Pelodiscus sinensis: one gene and its partners. The protein of the gene in region 3 interacts with the protein of the main gene of each other region in a pairwise test. Links are inferred from orthologs where the notes say so. Each region holds a gene or a part of one and is shown on either strand. Other genes may lie near its edges. The genes, in order: IRAG1, FAM124A and PRKG1.

Region 1 (7,262 bases), on a different chromosome or scaffold from region 3:
CCTTCTGTAGCACAAGGGATTGATTTAATTTAATGTTGATTTTTAGCTTTTCACAGTTTAAAACTTGGTTTAGGAAAATATATGAATCTCTGTTCATGTACTGTTTATTTAATTCATCAGTAGATTAAGGGACAGAGTTTTTGTTAGGGGGCTGGATTTTTTTGAGGAAGAACGTATGGAGTCTTTTTGAACTGATGGATGATGTACTTTCTGGCTATCTCAGTCTGTTCTTTTGAATGACTCTTCACACTGTGCTTGGCTCTTCTCTCCATTGATTGTGTCTTTGTGGGCTGCAGCTGACACTCTTACACAGTCTGGGTCATTGACTGTCCCTGGCCTTTCTCCATGATGTTCTAACTTTTTGTTCTCTTCCTGAGTTTACTATCCTTGCTTTCTGAACCCATAAAATGTTCTTCCCTTCTCCTTTATACTCCTTATGCCCTTTGAACAATCTCTGCCCTTTTTGTGCTTCCTAAGCCTGATTTATCCCTTGCTTTTCTCCATGTTGTCTCTGTGTTGCTCATGGCTTTTTCAGCTGTTTTCTGACTGCTTTGTTTTACATTGGCATTTACAGACTCTCTCCCCATTTGATATACGTGGATGTGCTACAGTTATTAAGAAGTGAGTGATATTATCTCTGACTCCTGAAAGGCCTCTGTATGGCTTCCAATAGACACACAATTTTTGCATCTCCTCTATGTGGTTTTAGGTGTGGGCTCCAGTGTGTACTTCAGTAAAGTTCTGGTTCAATTTTTTACTACTAGGTCATTAGTATTGTTTGGTATGACTAGCTCTGAGCTATCCTGATATTTGTTACAGCCAAGTAAGGCAAAAAAAAAAAAAAAAAAAAAAAAAAAAAGCGAACTCCTAACAAGAAAGAATAACTTAGAAAATACAAGAATAGAACAATTTTTATAGCAGTTCCAGTAGCTAAATACTAATGATGATTGACAGTCTCATTGAGAAGGTGTAAAAATGGGACCAGTGGACCCAAAACTACAGGAATACACCCAGAGTATTTTTTCATGCCCAAGAGCATGGAAGTATCCATTGTAGGGCAAAGGTCCTAGAACTTTACAACTGCTCTCTGGAGATGTTATTTTTAAACATCAAATTCTAAAATTCATTTAATAGAATCCTAATTTAATATCAGAATGTTACACTACTGCGCAACTGGAGGGTTTTTGCAGTAGAAAGATTTCTCTATTCTTGGTTCTGTGCTTGCAAAAGATAGGATCTAGTCTTTCACAAGATGTAAACAATTTCTCTGTGTTTTTACCATTGCATTACAGAGAAAAAGTTTCAGAAAGAAGGTAGAGCCAAATGGTAACAAGTAGAATAATTAATACTTCATACTATGCCTAGCGTCTTTATTCTTAAACTCCTGAAAATAGTACAGGAATTTATTTGTAATTTTACTAAGAACTGCTTCTTTCAGACATTACTGAGGAATTTTCATCTTTACACAAATAAATCAAATGTTCAGATGAATTTAATCATTATTTTCTTCTTCTCGTCTCCCAGGAAGTTAATTTTTTCAAATAGCAGATTCCAAATTAAGATTCAGTCTATGCCAAATTAGAGTCATTGTTGGTCAGAAAATAATTTGTGCCTAGAGTTGCTTCCAAGAAGTAAAGACCTTGGGTGAAAAACTCCTATTAACTTCAATGAATTTTGGGTCAGGCTTAGCCAGAGACCAGAGCTAGAACAGTTTTATATAATAGCCAGACAGGTTTTATGTCTGTCAGAGCACTATTGAGCAGAATAGAAATTTTACCCTAAATCAACAGAGAAAATGTCAACTAGAAAATGTCTTTGGGATACAGAAAAATAGAATGCTCACTGAAAATGGCACAAAGTAGGAATAGATAGTTTTTATTCCAAGGAATATGTTTTTGAATATTTAAAAAATTGAGTGATTAAAAGATGTCAGCAGCAAAGAGGTAAAGAAATAATTTCGTATTGCTGGGGGAATGTAATTAGGAGCAATAACAGTATTTTGTATTTATAGGGTGATTTTATTCTGAGGACAGCAGTGGAGTGTCATGAAATTAAGCAATTGTAAATTTAGGCTAAATACTATAGAATAGTCTCTCTCAAAAGTTGCAGGCAACAGGGGTGCTGGGACTAAGGGTGCTGGGATACAACGGCACTCCTTGGCTTGAAGTGGTTTCCATCATTTACATTTCATATCATTTGACTAATTTAGAAAACTTATAGAGGCTGTGTCTACACTGGCCGCCTATTACGGAATAGGCATGCAAATGTAGCACTTTGGAAGAGGCAAATCCGCGGAGGATTTAAATATCCCCGCGGCATTTGCATTTTCATGGCCGCCGCTTTTTTCCGGCTTGGAGATAACCTGGAGAAAAGCGTCCAGACTGGCGCGATCCTCCGGAATAAAGCCCTATTCCGGAGGATCTCTTATTCCTACTTGCAAGTAGGAATAAGAGATCCTCCGGAATAGGGCTTTATTCCGGAGGATCGCGCCAGTCTGGACGCTTTTCTCCGGCTTATCTCCAAGCCGGAAAAAAGCGGCGGCCATGAAAATGCAAATGCCGTGGGGATATTTAAATCCTCCGCGGAATTGCCTCTTCCAAAGTGCTACATTTGCATGCCTATTCCGTAATAGGGGCCAATGTAGACGTAGCCATAGAATGTTCTGTCATGTGTTTTCATCCTGGGGGTGATTGACCAAAAGTGTCAGGGGCTCATGACCACATATTCCTCCCCATATTACTAAATGGGACAAGGTTCCTGCATAGATAGGGAGTCTCAGTCTGGCGAAGTTTGAAAACCACTGTACCAAAAGACACACACACCAGCACAGGATGGACTGGATGACCTACTGGATTTGTAGTGTGATATTTGTAGAGGCTTTGGTTATGGACATGATCAAAAAATCTAGAGGACAGCATGGGGGAAAATCACAAAGGAACATAGAAGATAGGAGAATTTAGAAGTTAGCTCCCTCTTCTGTTACTAACATGGCACTTTTTTATGCTGTCTGAACACAGATTTAGTTTCTTTAAGAATTATTCAGTTAAATTGTCTTTTACCTCTGAGAAAAAGTGCTTTATAATTTAGTGTCTTCTTATTCATCCAGTCCTTAATGTCACTGAGTCACAATCTATTCCATTCACTCCACCAGCTATGCTACATTATGATCTGGCCACCATTGTTCATCTCACCCACAAGCATCTTCATGTCTTCTTTTATATTATCCTTTTCACGTGGAACATGTTTTCCAAGTACATTTACAGAGTTCCATGTTCCTCCTTAAAATCCTTTCTATCTGACCCACTTCTTCCATGATACGCATGGTCAGATGTTGCATGATACTGGCTACGAAGATGAACTAATAGTGATTCATTATTTCTTGTTCACTTAAATTGACTCCCATTATGCAGTCTCTAAATTTTACACCTAGCTAGCATGTACAATTTTGTATTTTTAATTCTGTCACAAGTATCTCCCCGCCCACCACCTGCTCTTCTGCTGCATTCTATGCTTCTTGCATTTCATATAATAGGGCTCTGATCCTGCTTGGGATCCTCAACTGAGTACTGCTGTAATATTAAATAAATAATCAGTAGTCCAACAATTGGAGGAAAACCTGTGTGCTATCCCAGAGTTAGCATCTGTAAAATTACTGCTTTATTCCTTTCTTTCTCTCTCTATAAAACACTGAAAAGAAAACAATTTACTATGTTGTAGGGGCACAATCTTCCCCCCTGCAAGATGTGAACAGCCCTCCCCCCACTTTAATGAGAGTTACTCAGCTTCTGTGAGGTGAATATAGGGGTCATTATTGGAAAGAGGCCAATGTTCTTTACAAGCTCACATGCCTTTTTAGTGGGTCATCTTATTTAGGCAGCCTCTGACCAACCAAAGGAAAAACTTCTTCAAATTACATTTATTCTTGTAAAACTTCATAGTAAGGGTTAACACATTAAGATGAAAATCATATTTCATCAGTTCTTCCTACTTGCCTATTTTAATCAGTTATTCAGAAATGAGTAATAGAAGCTCAGGCACAGAGAGCTCAGAAAATGCTAATGTGGTGTCTCTGTCTTTTGCTCTCAGAGGCTTATGCCAGAATAGAGAAAGCCTTTTATTCCACCATTCTGTGGAGTCAGAAGAAAGGCATATTCTGAAGCATTAGTTTCAATTGAAACTCACCCACTGTTAGTCTGCTGACTGTCTTGGGTCTCTGAGTTCGAAACTGCTTCAGCTCAGTTAATAGAGCCAGCTGTAATATTGACCTTAAATGGTAAAAGCTGTGAGAGTGAGGCCCGCCTGAGGGGAAAAAGAGGAATAACTCAGTTTTAGGTAAGTAATCTATGAAACCAAGAATAAACTGTCTCCTTCAGCTGTGAAACAGAACGGAACCAGTTTATTCCTTAAAGGTATAGTACCTCATTGTTATGATACCGCACTTTCTTGGGTAGCTTCCCCCCCACCATTAAATTGACTGTGTGTCAAAAAATGGGTGTAGCAAGACATTGTACTTAACAAAATCTGGTTTTTCTTGCATACTCTTTTGGGGAGAGACAAGTATGCTAAAGAAAAGCCTGTTCTGGTTAGATAGAAGTTTGCTAAAGAAAGGTAGGTTAATCAGTAATGAAATGTAACCCTGATTCAGAATAATTGGTAACTATACTGTGCTGTTTGAGATAATTTTAAACATTTGTCTATAAACATTTAAGGGTAGTAAATTATTAATTCTTTTTGTTTAAAATACAGTTGTATGATCGGTTTCCTTGCATGCACTCTTTTAACAGTGTAGGCACCAGAGTTGCTCATTTTGATGGGTTACCTAGCTGTCTCCTAAAAGACAGGTTCCAGAGATGTTTCTTGAGACATTTCTTTCTATAGTACATGTTTGCTTTTAAATACCAATAAGAATAAACAAATGCTGATAATTTATAACTAACTCAACTTTTTAAATTCTTCATTATCCATAGAAAATAACCCCCTACTTTGCAAATTTAAGTATCTTAAAATTCTAAGTTTTTTTTAAAAAATCACAGTATTATAGGTTTCTGATATTTTTAAATTTGTTTAAGTCTGTACTGAAGCTGTTGATAGTTACATTTCCTTTATTTGGTAAATTAAAAAAATATATACTTCTTGTGATTTAAAAATATGTATGTTAAGAATTTTTTCAGAAAGAAATAAGTAAATAAGAATTCAAATCAGGGTCATGACTGTTCAGGCCAGTCATATTAATAATATAAGTGCTCCTTAGTGAATTAGATTTCAAGCTTCTAAAAAATAGCCTGATTTCACCTGGTGAAAAATTCCTGTGCAACGAAGTACACATGATGAGAACAGATACCTACATTAGCTTCTGCTGCATGTTATTTAGAAAAAGCATTTTTGTTCTGATTAGAGACAGAGTTCCTGCAAAGAGCTGCTACATTTCTTTTTGACACTGGTACGTGTTGTATACACCTTATGTGAAAATTCATTACATCCAGTTTCAAGATAATATAGCACATGTTTCTTAATTGCTTTAACATTCAGAGCCAGTTACAAATATTATTATTTACTTCACTGTTATTTTTCTCTGAAATTTGAGTCTTTCATTAGCGGCTATTTTTCCACTAGTTCATCATACTTTAAATCATTCATAATGTTGACTTGCATCTACTGGTATCCTAAAAATAAATCTCCAGGAAATGTAAATGAATATATTTATTAGGTTTTATAATTAGGCTACTTGGATGAAAGGAAATAACAAAATGCAGCCTGCAAAATGCAGATGAATATTGTGGGTGACACAGTCAGAAACAATCCAATACATTAGACAAAGAAAATGCTGTACTATATATAGGGAACTTCATTTTTCAAAACATTCCAGTGACTAAGGGCCTTATTCTGATCTCTTAGACTTATATGTATCTTCATTTGTGGGCCACATGGATGTGATTTCAGTGTGTATGATGATTCACATTTGTCAGTCATACGTAGCTTTGGATCATTTGGATCATTGTTTATTAATAACTTCATATGGGGACTGGACTAATATCTGCTTTTCAGTTTTAAACAAGTTGTTATGCTTACACCTACGCTACATCTACATTGGCAAGATTTTGCGCAAATACTTTTAACGCAAGAGTTTTTGTGTTAAAGTATTTGTGCAAGACAGCGTCTACACTGGCATGTGCTTTTGCGCAAGAGATGCGCTTTTGTGCAAAAGCATCCATGCCAGTGAAGATGCTCTCTTGTGCAAGAAGCTCCAAGGCCATTTTAGCCATCGGGCTTTCTTGCGCAAGAAATTCATGTTGCCTGTCTACACTGGCCTCTTGCGAAAGAACAGTTGCACAAGAGGGCTTTTTCCTGAGCGAGAGCATCATAGTTCTTGTGCAAGAAGCCCTGATTTCACACATTAGAACATCAGTGTTCTTGCGCAAGAACTCCCCGCCAGTGTAGACAGGCAGCATGTTTTTGTGCAAAAGTGGGAGCTTTTGCGCAAAATCTTGCCAATGTAGACGTAGCCCTAGTGCAGAGCTAGAGCGGTATTTTTTGTTAATATCACATTTTATAGCAACTTGCCAGTGGGGCCAACAGACTCGTTGGGCATTTGTGTGTGTGTGTGTGTGTATGGGTGTTGGTGGTGGGGGTGTGTGTGTCACAGAAGGAGCAGATCCTCATCCAAAAGGAGCAGGTTTGGGGTTTATCTTCCCTAGGCAGCCTTCAGTGCTGCCCACAGTGCGCTGCACCTATCCAAGGCAGTCCCCAGCACTCCTGGAGTGTGTCATGTGGCTCTTCAGCAGTGATTTAAAGGGCCTGGGACTCCTGCCACTGCTACAGTGGCAGCCCCAGGATCTTTTGAATTGCTGGGCCCTTGTGCACTTGTCTTTTTTGCCCTCTCAGCTCACCCCCCTCATTTGTGGGCCTACAATTTGCCAGTTAGTGTTTTATCAGACATTATACATTGTAAATCAAGAAAGAATGTAACACTCAGAATGATAGTTGTTATAATTCCTTAATTAAAAACACTCATACTTTATATACAAATGCAGGTAGCTCTCATGCACTGATATTTCCTAGACCTCTGTGGTATCTGGATGCACTTTTCACTTAGTCTATTTTTTCAAGGGTCAGTGATCTCACAAATCCCAGGCCATGGTTCCATGGATCCAGGCACCAAGCAGAGAGGGGACTAATGGCTACTCAGTGGCTGGATACATAGGTCTAAAGATTTGGGGGGGGGGGGTGACAGTGGTCCAGTACATGGCCACAGCAGGAGGCTG
Region 2 (7,221 bases), on a different chromosome or scaffold from region 3:
TACTGACCTAGGAGGGAAGGGTGGAGAGAGAATACTTTTAAGCCCCTTTGCAGGACCCAGAAAATATCTAGCACAACTGAAATATGATGGAGAGATGGCAGCTTCCTCTGGTCCTGTTGGAGCCAGAGGATGAGCAGGACCAAGAGACATCAAGGGCTAAAGTCTATGCTCTCTCTCCCTCAGTCTAAAAAGAGGAGGGAAGTGAGACCAAGAGATTATAAGGGTGTAAATCCCTTGTCCATGGCTCCCTCCACAGGAGTTCCACTTGAGGAATTAGCCGTCCTCCCCACAGATAGCCAGATGGCAAGAGAAGACAGCAGCATCTGAGATAGAGAATTTCCCCAGCAGCCTGCTCTCTTCTGAACTGAACATTGCATCAACAATGGATGAGAGTAGGAACAGAAGGGGACTTGAAAAAAAAATTGTCTTGTGAGCAAAACACTAGACTGAGCCTCGGGATAGTTGGGTTCTATTCAGAGGTGAAAGTGGGCCAGTATGGGCTGGTACAGCATACCAGTAAGCATCGGCCACTGCTCCTGGCTCATACATGGCTGATGTTAAAATGTTCCCACACTAGCACTTTAACATCACTGCCCCTGTTGCTCCCCTGTCTTTGCTGGTAGGATCCAGCAGCGCTGCCAGATCCTATTGGCAGGGCAACCAATGAGGGAGGAGCAAAAAGGGGCAGCTTCCCTGGGCCACGGTGATTTAAAAGGGTCAGGGTCAGGAAGCAGCGCCTTGGGGTTGGGGTACTTTGCTTGCTGCTGCTATAGTGAAGTAGAGCGCAGCAGGCCAGGAGAGGGTGATGAGGCAAAGTGGAGCAGGCTGCTGGATTGCTCCAGCTCCCACCATTCCAGTGAGTGGGGGTATGTGACCCCTGCTGCCACCCTGCCAGGTCTCCCAGGTAATTCCACTGATCCCATCCACAGGATGGCTGAGGTGGTGACTTCGGGGGACCCCAAAGTGTGGAGACAGAGGCGACCGCCCTGAACCATCTTATGGCTGGGATGGCTCTGGCTCTGATCTCCTGGCTTCTGTTACCGCATCAATGGTGGCTGGAAGCCCCATGCCCTTCAAATCACAGCTGGAGCCCCACAGTTCCCAGCTGCTGATGCTGCTGCCATGGAAGGCAAGAGCTGGCTGGGGGGGGGGGGGGGATCTGGCCCCAGCCCTACCCCTTCCACTAGAGGCTCTGCCCTTTTTGGGGACCAGAGCCACCTCCCACCTTGCCAAAGACCACAGTCCACTGGTAAATTCTGGCAATTACTTTCACCCCTGGTTGTGTTCCTGATTCTGCCAGAACCTTTCTGTGTAACCTTGGCCAAATCACTTGGTAGGCTTTTTGATGCCCCACCTGTAAAATGGGGATATGATGATGAGGACAGCTGGGTGCTGTGAGGGTAAATTCATTAAGATTGTGTGGCACTCTGATTCTCTGAGGCTACATCTAGACCGCTTTCCTTTTTTGGGATACTGGAGGTATCCGAGAAAAGCAACATCGCGTCCAAGGAACACATTTAAAAACAAAACAAAAAAAGAGGACGTGCTCTTTCGCCATCCCTGTAAACTGCGTTCTACGAGGATAAGGGATGTGTCAAAAGAGCATTTTACTTCAACATTTGGCTCCCTGTAGAAAAAGCCTCTTTCAAAAGAAAATCTGAAAAAGATACGCAACTTTCCAATATAACATTGCAGTGTAGACCTAGCCTGAGAGAGAACTATTTCCTGCTTCCCCATGACACTACAGAGGAGGCTTAACAGGTGGAGCAACCCTCCAAGTCCTTTGGGGAGCTGGGCAGGAGGAGGCAGCAGCTAGAAGGAGACCCCTTTTTGCCTGCAGCTGTTCCTAGTCTTGTGCACAGTATATTTGAGCTCCTGTGCATATCCCTGGAGAGCTCCTGCTGTGCGCTTGCAGCCTCCCTTGTCTGTGTGGGCCTCTCACACAGCACCACTCGCATACATGCCAACAAGGAGCCGGGAGGACTGAGGTGGGCACTTGGGGTCAGCATCGTGTAATGATTATTGGTGACTTATTACAGATATGTCTTTTGTGTGCGCTGACCAGGCCCAGATTAAGATCTTTAGAGGCCCTAAGCATTGAAAAGATCATGGTGCCCCCCCCCATGAAATTCAAAATAAAAATAATACTATACCATAAAATCTCTTTTTTTGTGTGCCCCTGCTTTGCTTGTGCCCTAAGCACGTGCTTAGTCTGCCCATTGGGTAATCCAGCCCTGGCGCTAACTGAAAGCCAAACCTTGGGAGCAAATACCCTGAATATTTAGGACTGAGTCCAGATTCAGCTCCGCTTTTTTTCCAGCCGGCAACTGAACACTGACAGTACAAAACTTCACTCAGCAGGCAGCCACAGAACAGACTTTGTATGTGTGTGGACGGGGTGGGGGGCAGCTCCGGACCCGCGGCTGCCTCTTGCAGCAGGCACAAAAGAAAGGAGGAAGCCGAGAAACGCAACAAGTGCGGCAGCATCTCGGCCCCTCTGGCTGCGGGAGCTGGGAAAAGAAACCCAAACCAGCAAGACGCAGGATTAGGAGCGGATCCCCCCCCCGACCCCATCTGCCGCCCAGTGGTGGAGCCGGGCGGGACAAGCCGCCTTCGCGCCTCCGCGAGAGCCGAGATGCCCAGCCGCTTTCTAGCGCCCGCGGCGGCAGGTGTCACTAGAGGGGAGGGCAGGGGAAGCGCCGCCACCCCCGGGCCAAGCAAGCGGGGACCGCTCCCTGGCCAGGCTCTCCCTCCCCCAGAGCCTGGGCTGCGGAGCCGGCTTCCCCCAGCCGGATCGGGGCCCCCGCGCCCACCCCGTCCTGCGCCGCCGCCTCTCTCCCCAGCCCCTGCGCTGCCCGCGCCCTGCCCGGGACTCACCCGCCAGTCTCGGCTCCCGAGTCCACGCAGTCATCCTCGCCGCCCGCCTTCCGCTCCATGGCAGGCGTCAGGGCTGCTCCATCCCCCGCCTCCTGCCCGCGGCTGGCTGCGGCCGCCTCCCGCAGCCCCAGCGCCCTGGGTGCGGAGCCAGAGCTGCGCCGCGCAGGCCGCCGGGCTCCTCTCTGCGGTGGCAGCCGGAGCGTGTGCGGGAGCCTGCCCGCCCCCCTGCCAGCCCCGCCGCCGGGTGTCAGCGCCGCTCCTCTGGCCCGGCCTCCTCCCCGCCTTTGTGCGCGGCTCGCCCCCCACGCACCCCCCAGTGGCCTGCCCGCTCTACAGCAGCCACGCGCTCCTTGAGAAGGGGCGCAGCTCTACTGGGGAGAAGGCCCCACGCTTTGGAAGTGGGTCTGTCTCACAGGTGCCATCATCACTGATAAAAGCTCCCCACCAGGCCCTCTTAAGCACATCTATGAGTGTCACACACGCGCTTGGGAGTACATGACACAAATTCTATATCCAAGGAGCCATCCTGCTTAATTCCAGTGGCTGTGACTGAAGTTTGCCTTCTCCCCTTTCCCCCTCTTTTGCCGGTTACCAGGAGCTACCTTTCAGTGACCTGGGGTACTTTGAGATCTGCTGGGATGACATGGAAAGGATTATTGCCAGGGCTTTTCAAAGGATCAAGGGCATGTCTACATTAGGATGTTTTGTCAACTTAGCCATACTAGTTAAAGACATAACTTCCCTGTGGTGAGCACAGTTATGTAGCTATAAGGATGCTTACATTGAATGGTAGAGCTTATTCAGGTTTAGGAAGTGAAATAAGTTATATGGGCATAAGGCCCTTTAAAATTGCATATAGGTTAGGTGTACAGCAGTATAATGATACTAGTTACAAAAAATCAGCCTTAAAGCAACATGTAACTTCTCTAGTGTAAAGCCTCAGGCTGTGTCTAGACTACAGGCTTCTTTAGGAGGAAGCTTTTTTCGGAAGAGATCTTCCAAAAAAAGTCTTCCGAAAGAGAGTGTCCACACTGCAAAAGTGCATCGAAAAAGCAATCTGCTTTTTCAAAAGAGAGCGTCCAGACTGAATGGATGCTCTCTGGCATATAAGCTGTGATTGCTATGGACGGAATGGCCACCGGGGCACCTGTGTTTTTTCCTCTTCTTCCAAAAGAACTCCCTCTTCCCCATCCACAAATGCCTTTTTGCAAAAAAGCTCTTTCACAAAAAGGCTTCATAGAATGAGGATTACCAATGCCAGAAAAGCCCCTCTGTTCTTTCGATTTTCTTGCAGAAGAATGCAATGGCTGTGTGGACGTAAGGGAAGTTTTGTCAGAAAAACGGCTGTTTTTCCGACAAAACTCTGTAGTGTAGACACACCCTCAGAGACTTTGTCTACACTGCATGCTTATTTTGAAATAACTTGTTATATCTAAATAACAGAGTGCGCATCTACACAGCAAGTCCGTTATTTCGAAATAATTTCAAAATAGTGGGCTTCTTACTCTGACTTCGGTAACCCTCATTTCACGGGGAGTAAGGGAAGTCGAAGGAAGTGTGTTCTTCCTTCAACTTCCTGTTGGGTAGACAGTGACAAAAGCCAAGTTAAGCTACCTTGACTTCAGCTACACAACTAACATATCTTTACTCAACTTTAGACAGCAGTGTAGATGTACCCAGAGGGTTAGCTGTGTTACTCTGTATCTGTAAAAACAACAAGGAGTCCTGTGGCACCTTAAGGAATGTCTGCACTAGGAAATTATTTTGAACTAAGGGTATGTCTACACTACAATGTTAGTTCGAACTAACGGACGTTAGTTCGAACTAACATTCATAGCCGCTACACTAGCGCTCCGCTAGTTCGAATTTGAATCAAACTAGCAGAGCGCTTAGTTCGAACTAGGAAAACCTCATTTTACGAGGATTAAGCCTAGTTCGAACTTACTAGTTCGAATTAAGGGGTGTGTAGCCCCTTAATTCGAACTAGTGGGAGGCTAGCCCTCCCCAGGTTTCCCTGGTGGCCACTCTGGCCAACACCAGGGAAACTCTATGCCCCCCTCCCGGCCCCGGAACCCTTAAAGGGGCACGGGCTGGCTACGGTGCCCGTGCCAGGTGCAAGCCTGCCAGCACCCAGCCAGCAGACCCTGCAACTGGCACGGCACAGAGCCACCCATCCGATGTCCCCCAGCCCACCCCCTCTTCCCGGGACCAGGCTGGCGGCTCCCGGGAGCTTGCCCTGGACCGCAAGAGGCGGGCACCTTCCTGGGCTAGTGCGGACATCGTGGACCTCGTCCACGATCTCCGCACTAGGCACAGGAAAGTGGCCGTCTAGGGCAGGAGAGCTGCCAGCCTGGCCACCCAGGAGCAGGTGTGCATGAAAATCAAGGGGGTCCACTGAGACCCCCGACCCTGAGCCCTGAGCTTACAATGGCCGTCCTGGGTCAGACCAAAGGTCCATCTAGCCCAGTAGCCTGTCTGCCGACAGCGGCCAACCCTAGGGACCCTGGAGGGGATGGACCGAAGACAGTGACCAAGCCATTTGTCTCGTGCCATCCCTCTCCAGCCTTCCACAAACTTTGGGCAGGGACACCACTCCTACCCCCTGGCTAATAGCACTCCATGGACCCAACCTCCATGACTTGATCTCACTTCCCTTTAAACTCTGTTCTAGTTGTAGCCTTCACAGCCTCCTGCAGCAAGGAGTTCCACAGGTTAACTATTTGCTTTCTGAAGAAGAACAACTTTCTCTTACTAGTTTGAAGCCTGCTACCCATTCCTTTCCTTTGGTGTCCTCTAGTCCTTCTTTATGGGAACTCAGGAAGAACTTTTCTGTGTGCACCCTCTCCACCCAACCCCTGCTTTTAGAGACCTCTATACTGTCCCCGCTCCATCTCCTCTTTTCTAAGCTGAACAGTCCCAGTCTCTGTAGCCTCTCTTCATCTGGGACCTGTTCCCAACCCCTGATCATGTTAGTTGCCCTCCCCTCTCCCAGCCTTTCTCTTCCCCTCTCCCACCTCCTTTTCCCAGTCTCCCCCAGTTTTGTTCAATACAGACAGAGTCAATGTTGGAAGAAACGTTATCTTTATTTTGTACATCAATAAGAAGGGGGGCTAGGGAAGGGTAAGTGGAAGGAGGTGAGGGAGGAATGGGGTACGAGCCCCCGATGGGGAGGACTGGGCTGGCTCTGCGGGCTTCTGGGGGTGGAAGCTCTCCTGCAGCCCCCCGATTGCCCTCTCTCCCCAGATGGCAGCCTGTGGCAAGTGCAGCCGGTCTGATGGCCGAGTGGTGTGATGTGTCCAGTGTGGGTACTCCGGGCAATCCAAGCCAGGACTGCTTTGCAAGCGGGGCACCCTGAGAACTGTCTGTCCGGGGTGGGGGTCGGGTCCCTTTAAGCGCAGCCCTCGGCTAGCCTGAGATAGCAGCTCCACGCTCTAAGTCCTCCTCTGATGCCCTGCTGGCACTGCTTCCGGCCATCCTTAAGCCCTGTTCAGGGTCCACTCAATGTGGACTTGCTAGTGTAGCGCCTATGAAAGTTAGTTCGAACTAACTCTGTAGTGTAGACATACCCTCAGAGCCACTTGAACCCACATTGCACTGTGCCCCCACTCCCTGCCAGCAATTAGCGCTGTTTGGATTGCACTGACCAGGGCTTGTGGGAAAATTTAAAGTGCCTAGGGCTTCAGTCACTGCTGTTGCCACAGTAGCAGCAGTGGTAGTGGTGGCCAGGAGCCCTGTGACCTTTTGACTCACCACACCCTGGGGGAGTTGTCTCTTTTGTCCCCCTCTGTTGGTAGGCCTGAAGGCTTATATACAATATAAGCTCTGTTCACTGATGTCCCCTTCCCCTTCCACTGAGTTAGTAAAAACTAGTTTGGATAAAGTATCAGAGGGGTAGCCGTCTGCAAAAGCGATGAAGAGTCCTGTGGCACCTTATAGACTAACAGATTTATTGGAGCATAAGCTTTCATGGGCAAAGACCCACGTCATCAGATGCATGTAGTGGAAATTCCAGAGGCAGGTATAAATATACAGGCATAAGAAAAGAGTTCCAATCAAGAGTAAGGCTAGAGATAACGATGTCAATTCAGTCAGGGAGGATGAGGCCCACTTCTAGCAGCTGATGTGGAGGTGTGAACACCAAGAGAGGAGAAACTGCTTTTGCAGTTGGCCAGCCATTCACAGTCTTTGTTTAATCCTAAACTGATGGTGTCAAATTTGCAGATGAACTATAGCTCAGCAGTTTCTCTTTGAAGTCTGTTCTTCAAAGTTTGGATAAAGTACTAGACAGAGTCCTATAAGGAGCAATCCTGCACTATCCAGGGGATGTCACATCCATACATTACA
Region 3 (7,154 bases):
ACAGGAGAATCAATACTGGCTATAGTATTGGGTTGTTACTTGGATGTAGGAGCTATTATTTCCTCTAGCAGATTTGTTCCACCCACACAAATTCCCACTCACCTTATGGTCTAGGAGAATATGCTAAGTTAGTACACTGAACTGCAAACCTTTTGATAACAAAATTAAAAACATTTATTTCCAAAATGACTCTTTTAAAGTAATTGTGCCGATAGTACATGAAATACGTGTGGTATTTTGATATAAACCATGAATTTAAAAGTATACAAGCTTTCTCGTGATTACGGGACCAAACATATCAACATGTATTGGATAGTGAAAAAGATTAAACACTCTATGGAGGATATAGTCTCTCTTCTAGATGTACTCGGTTTTCTTACTTAAACCAACTTGCATAGTCTGTGGCTGCAAATGTGAAACAAGAATAGATGACTTCCCAATTTTATTTAAAGCTTGAAAGATTTATTACAATTGTCCCTTCATCTACTGTGTTGGCAACCAAAACAGCCCAGTGGCAAAAGTCACTGGAGCAGCTTTTTTTCCTTCTGGAAAAGCTCACAAGAGCGAGGAAGAGTAACCTGAAGGTAGGCAGAGCATTATTCAGCACATGAATCTGGTGGAAACCTGCGCATTGGTCTCAACTTTAGGATGGTCCCCGATTTTCTTGTAGTTGGGCTGCATGTCAGGTAAGGAACTCCTCACACCTATTACTCCACCCACCACTTCCTCTGCCTTTCACGCCATATTACACTGCCAGCAAGACTTTGATCGGTTTTATTTTTCATTCGTATCTTGAGATGAGCATTGTTCACCCCAAAGTCATTATTTCTCATGTTATCTTTAGATACATTTAATTGGTTTATGTTCATTACTCTAAAGCCCTTTATAAAATCCAATCAAATGGCACAGAACTATACTATAACCAGGGAAGTATCATATTATGACCGTCACTTTGTCCAAATGTGCATAAGTAGACAAGGCCACATACCTCATTAGATACACCCGTAAGTCTTCCAATATATACAGTTAAGATACAGGACTAAGCTGGAAACGGAGTGAAAATTTAGGATTTCCCCATAAACTTTCTTAAACTGACACACAAAAACTGCTCTTGGAGCTCAATATAAACCTTCTAAAACAACACTCGCGTCCACCTATGGTTCCTGCCCCATTAAACTCTGAACACCTCCTCTCAGCCCAGACAGAAGCGGCTATGCTGCATGACGAACACCAAGAAAAGCACTTTCTTACACACCTGAACAAAGGACTGCCGAGTTTTCTGTCACGTGACAGTTACGGCAGCCTCTCCTTACAAGAAGATGAGGACAGCAAAGACTGCTAAGGATGGAAACAAAGCACAGAGCAAAGAAACAAACCCTTCTCTTCCCCTCAGCCCTTTACTCCTGTTGGGCACAGCGTAGGAGTTTCCTAGCAGCGCATAACAGCATGTGCTCTAATCCTCAGCCATAATTGGCTGACTGCATACATGCCATGCAACTTTTAACCTCGGAATTTCCTTGGTTATGTCAGTTATATCACCGCCTGGGGGGATGATTTAAATGCAAGTTAGCAGGTGTAGTGGACCGGATTTATATTGTAAATCTCCTCTAGTAGTTCGGTGGGCTTGGCTGCTAAGCTACAGCCAAGAGCCAATTTTTATATCCAAGTTGTGCGTCCCAATGGGCGGTGTTTAAAACCTAAAAAATGTGCAAACTTAGCTCCCTGCCCACAGCCACAGCTCAGAGACATCCTTAGCCCCCGGAAACGTGCAAAGCAGTTATGCAGAACGCTGTGGAACTAGTGACATGTGGATTTGTATCAAGTAAGACCTTTGAAACCCCCACACTTGTCAGATGCAGTCCCAAATTTAAAAAAAAGAAAGAAAAGCAAGAGATTGGATTTGCCTTTCTGGATGCTGACTGACATCAGCTCAGGGATTAGCAACACCTTTGTCGGGGGAGAAAATCAGTTTGTGATAGATCAGCCTACACCCGAATCCGGATAGTAAATTCTATTTTGCTTCATATAGTTGACATGTCAAACACCCAGCACTGCGGATACACTCAGCGCAGAGACCAAGAGCACAAAAAAGCCAGACATAAGAACGTACCACATTGGAAAAGACAGTCTGATGGTGACGCTGCCGTTAGCGGGGTTATTGTTTGGATGGGCAAGGTTACACCAGCGCTAGGGAGAATGCGCTTTCCCCCTTCACGGGTTGGGAACTCTGCTCACAGTGGGCTCGGAAATACCTGGACATTGGACAGAGACACAGCGGGATACGGATGCGTGCAGCTACCGTGGCTGAAGAAATGTGGGCAGCCCAGAGAAGCGTGGTTGGGGGGGGGGGCATTTCTGAGGATGAGCACAGAAATGGAAAGCAGAAGGTGCAGGACCCGTCTAAACAAGTGGATGGACAGACAATACAGAGACCATTCAACTACCAAAGACAGGATGTACACAACGCTTAAACCCTGCTTACTGTGGGCTCTTGGGGTAGAAGGGCAGGGTGACATGGCTGAGATCCTGGATGTCAAATGCGGTGGGCTCGGCTGAAATTGCCTGCCTCTTGGTCCTGTGTTCCCCCTGCAAGGTGGTGGTGGTTTGCTGATGCGCCTGCTGGGTGGCGGGCCGGATCACCGAGCGGTACTTATCCAGCTCGTTTTGTAGTTTCTGGATCAGTTCGTCCTTCTGATCCAACTCCAGCTCCAGCTCGTCGATGAGCGCATCCCGCTGCCTCAGCTCCTCGATTTTCTCCTGCAGCGCGTACTGTAAATCCCGCAAAGTGCCCATACTCCTCCTGGGGCCAGGGGCTCCTGCTTCCGGAGCCTGTCTCTCTCCCCCGCTCCCAGCAACTTTCCCCGAAGTACCCGCAGCTTCCCCACTTCAGCCAACTTTGCCGATCGCTCCCGATCGACCTGCCGCCGGCGGATTCCTCCAGCCCTTTAAACACGCCCCCAGCCTGCGCGGGGGCGGGGGGAGCTTGGCAGCGATCCGCGCAGAGCTACGGAGGGAGGATTAGCGACATAATCTTAAACGGAACCCCACCAGCACCACTCTCCCGGAGGCTGGGTTGTTAAGGGTGATTTCGATCTGCCTGCGTCAGGCTAGACTGGAGAGGGAGAGACGGGGGGGGGGGGGGGGGGGGGAAGAGAAGAGAGAGAAAGGGGCGGCTGCAAGATGCGGTAACACATGCACTTTCCCTAGGACTGTGTCAGGGGCAGGGCTACTTTAAGTGTAATTAGTTTCCCCGAGTCTCTACCCTCCACCCTGCTTCGGAAGAGGGGCGGCAGCTTTGCAATTCCAGACTCTTCAATATTTCTCCAGCAAGGCCCCGTTTTCTGGGCAGGTCCAGCATTAGAACCGGCTGCACCCCTCACTCTTCCCCACATGAATAAATAAATCACAATGCTGCCAAACCTAAAGCAATGGCAGGAAAATCTGCGCCGTTTTCTGATGCCACCCAACAAAGTTACCGCTGGGGTAGGATGGCTTCGCTTCCCCCTTTGCCAGGCATTCAGATTTTACAGCCAACAGCTTATCCAATAATTCACTGTAATTACAACTATTAGACTAAGCAGGTATCTATTGTTAAGGTTTCACACGCCATTAAGTCCGTTTTAAGTTTGGAAGAAACCTAAGGAATCATTCAGCCTGAACCAGACTGCTATTCAAATGCTGTTCGCGGTGTGACTGGGGGTTCAAATGCTGTTTGCGGTGTGACTGGGGGTTCTTCCTGGACCTTGCCAGGCTTTGGCTCACCCAAATTGCACTGCACGGACCCAGAACTGATATAACTGCTCCTATTGTCTCTCTAAACAGGCACACCCTGACAGAGCCTGTGGCTTGTGTAACCCAGAGGCACTGAGACCACTGACATGGGAGCATGATGAAGTCTGCCCTACAACCTTAGCTATAGAGCAGACTTCACTCTCCCGTGGCAATGGTCTCAGTGCCTCTCGGTTACACACGGATGTTTCAAAAATAAGTGGATGGGACTAGGATCCTGGCAGTGATGGGCAGCAATACCAAAAATCCCACTAGATCTATGGAGGACAAGCATAATTTCCTCCAGTGCTCAAAAAATCCCTAGACCCCGCTGCAGTACAGTGGATGAAGAGCACAAAATAGGTTCCAATAGCTGGATCCAGCCAGCTTTGATCTCTCATCTTCCATATCTCACAATGTCAAAAGAGACTGAGAGTTCATCTAACACAGGAAAGGCAAGATCCAACCAAATTCCAGTAGAACAGTGTGAAGGACCTAGCACTTTGATTCTGCCAGTTTGACCACACTCACTCAATTTCTAGTGTCCTGTAAAGTCACAAAAGCCTTTGGCCATATATCCCCAAGATGTAAGTGAAAAAAGTGGCTATATCCTCCTGGATCCATGTGCATATTTGGATTTTCACATGTTCATATGCCACGATATATATCACATGTTTATTATGAAAGAGGACCTGACATACAATAGACTATTTTCTGGATCTAGCAAAACCCAGGTGTAAAGTGTGCATTTTAGTTTTGTCTTACAAATGATGTACTTGATGCACAGATCTTCTGGTCTAGCAGAAGCAGTGATATAGGTTTGGATAATATGAGGTGGGGTGTTAGTGCTAAAAAGAGGTAGGATTCAGCAGGGCCTTCTATCACAATTATAGAATTTAGGGGTTTTAGGGACACAAGATCCAGGTGAATCCAGATGCTGGATCTGAGTTGTTGCAGCTTTCATGTACCAGAAAGCATCAAGATTAATTTTTTGTCAGGATACTAGACTAGCTCTTCAGTCTTTTAGGCATTAGAATTGGGAGGAGGGAGGACCAAAAACTGACAGAAGGTGGCAGCTGTAGGGTTCCACAAATGAATGGTTGCAGCACTCATGTAGTAAGATGTGTCAGGGTCCAAACTTTTTTTAATGCAGTAGGAGTAACTAGATTCATTCCCCAGTTGTGGCTTTGTACTGAAAATATACAAGATACTTCAAAATGCAGACGGATCCAGTTTTTATCTTTTTCTGTTGTTGAGTAATGCCACTTGAGTGACTCTACAGCCCCAGCTTTCCACCTGCTGATAGTCTCTATAATATAGATAGATGAACATCTAAAAAAACCACGTTCTAAATCCCTTATAGTACAAAATGATTGTTTTAAAGGACTAAACATTACCATAAATATTTGATGAGTCTCTGCAGCTTCCTGCATGTATTTGATTCTCTGTATATTTTTCAACAAACAATTTTGGGTTACACAATGCTCAAATACCATTTCAAATAAATATGCAGCAGTTTAAATCTTTTAGCTGGGCTGTTTTAAACCAAGAGTGATACAATTTCATTTGTCTTTTCAAAATATGGACACTGTGTAAACATTTTAAGTTCAGAACCCAATTTGCTGAATATTTTCTCCCACTTCATCTTAGTAAATTGTTTGGGTTCTATCACAATATTTCTATGATAAAGATGAGTGCATCTGCATAACTTTTGCTGTTTACAAAATATAAATGAATGCTAAAATTGATGTATTATTTCCCTTTCTTTAAATCAACATATTTATTTTTTCTTTCTTTCCCCCAATCAGATTAGACCCTGACACTTAGATAATGAAATTGTATGGCTGCTGACTGAAGCCCAGACTTCAATACAATTGTTACCCAAAGTGGAAATTGATCCATAACTTTTGAGTAGCAAATAACACCACATAATTCTTTTATTTAGATTTCATTTACAGTGCATAACCTACAATCTAGATAGCTATATGTTACATGAAAAAGGAAAGACATCCATGAAATTACACTGGATCAATAAAGCTAGCAGAGGTGCACAAGGTCAGGACTGATGTGTTTTATATAGCGTCATACACATGAAGCTCTGAAATAGGTTGACATCAATGGTTATAAAAGCTTGCACATCTTCTGCTTACTTTGTCACTTAAACCATTGTTATTGGCTGCTCATATTTATGAGCAATGAAACTGGTCATATTACTCTAAATTCTTTCTAAAATAAAAAACATACTTATGGATAGAGGACATGCTCCTGTGGTAGCCATGGGAACTGAGATCCAAAGACAGTTTGAGTGACAAATTACAACAAACACCACCACAAATAAACACGGAAATAATCTTAATAGATATAACTTTAAAACCAAAGAATCCCAAAGCACTTCTACTATCAACAAAATCTTGCCAGGTGATCGACTCTGACGACTGTTGGCAGCAAAAAGTAACAACCATATTTGTTTTCTAATATCCTAAGGATGCCACAGGGCTAATTATGAATTCAGTGAGGATAAGAACAGCCATACTGGGTCAGATCAAGGGTCCATCTAGCCCAGTATTCTGTCTTCCAACAGTGACTAGCACTAAGTGCCCCAAGATGGAATGAACAGAAAAAATAATCAAGCAATCCCACCCCATCACCCATTTCCAGCCTCTGACAAACAGAGGCTAAGGACACCATTGCTACCCTTTTTTGCATTTCTTGAGGAGAGCCCATGTGGAGTTAATAGATTAGATAGGCAAACCCCGTGCATAAGAAATCCCAGCACTGTAATTTAGGGAACACATCCAATACAACTGCAACATCCCTGACCACATTGGTTCTCTGACACAGCCCCAGCAGCACTCACCACGCTGTGGCGAACTGGGGCAGTCTTCTCCCATCCTTGTACCAGGACAGCCATTTCAGCTCTTTCAAGTGGATACAACCCTGCTCTTCCCAGCAAGAACCCCCACAGAATCCCCTACCCATCTTCATTTCTGGTGGTTCCTCTACGTCCAGCAATCTATCGACACCTACAGGGCTGGCGAAGTTTCTTCACCACTCCCTCACCTTCAGCCTTTGGTTCCTGCTTAAAGCCAGCAGGCACCAGCCTTTTTTACTTTCAGACTTCAGCTGTCTTTAGTCTTTGCTCTCTGTCTGGCACAGGAAGAACAGCAGGCTGTCCCTTCACTGTTTTTTTAACCCCCCCCCCCCCCCCCCCCCCCAGCCCTTTTCATCCTTCTAGGCTTTGGCCTTTGAAATCAGTAAGCTAGCACCACCACTGGCTTCCTGATAACTGCCTTCTTCCTAGGAAGCTTCTCTGTTCACTGCTGTTTTCTATACAGGCTTCCTCTATTCTCCTGGGTTTTCCTGACTCCCTAGGATTCTCAGTCACT

Evidence for each region.
Region 1: the proteins of PRKG1 (region 3) and IRAG1 interact in a two-hybrid assay, tested with the Homo sapiens proteins (2 studies listed by BioGRID). The link is inferred for Pelodiscus sinensis from reciprocal best matches to the Homo sapiens genes PRKG1 and IRAG1.
Region 2: the proteins of PRKG1 (region 3) and FAM124A interact in binary tests that used the Homo sapiens proteins (3 or more experiments, as listed by UniProt). The two-hybrid records come from large-scale screens. The link is inferred for Pelodiscus sinensis from reciprocal best matches to the Homo sapiens genes PRKG1 and FAM124A.

What each region holds. Positions count from the first base shown.
Region 1 is NC_134714.1:104,874,292-104,881,553, forward strand, and holds the start of IRAG1 (inositol 1,4,5-triphosphate receptor associated 1), read left to right. Parts: upstream 1-4,209; 5' UTR 4,210-4,332; exon of another isoform or gene 4,333-4,409; intron 4,410-4,487; exon of another isoform or gene 4,488-4,608; intron 4,609-7,262.
Region 2 is NC_134711.1:291,034,972-291,042,192, reverse strand, and holds the start of FAM124A (protein FAM124A), read right to left. Parts: upstream 3,084-7,221; 5' UTR 2,937-3,083; coding exon 2,878-2,936; intron 1-2,877.
Region 3 is NC_134718.1:37,896,764-37,903,917, forward strand, and holds the start of PRKG1 (cGMP-dependent protein kinase 1), read right to left. Parts: upstream 3,090-7,154; 5' UTR 2,794-3,089; coding exon 2,483-2,793; intron 1,279-2,482; exon of another isoform or gene 1,256-1,278; intron 1-1,255. UniProt on the Homo sapiens protein: Serine/threonine protein kinase that acts as a key mediator of the nitric oxide (NO)/cGMP signaling pathway. GMP binding activates PRKG1, which phosphorylates serines and threonines on many cellular proteins.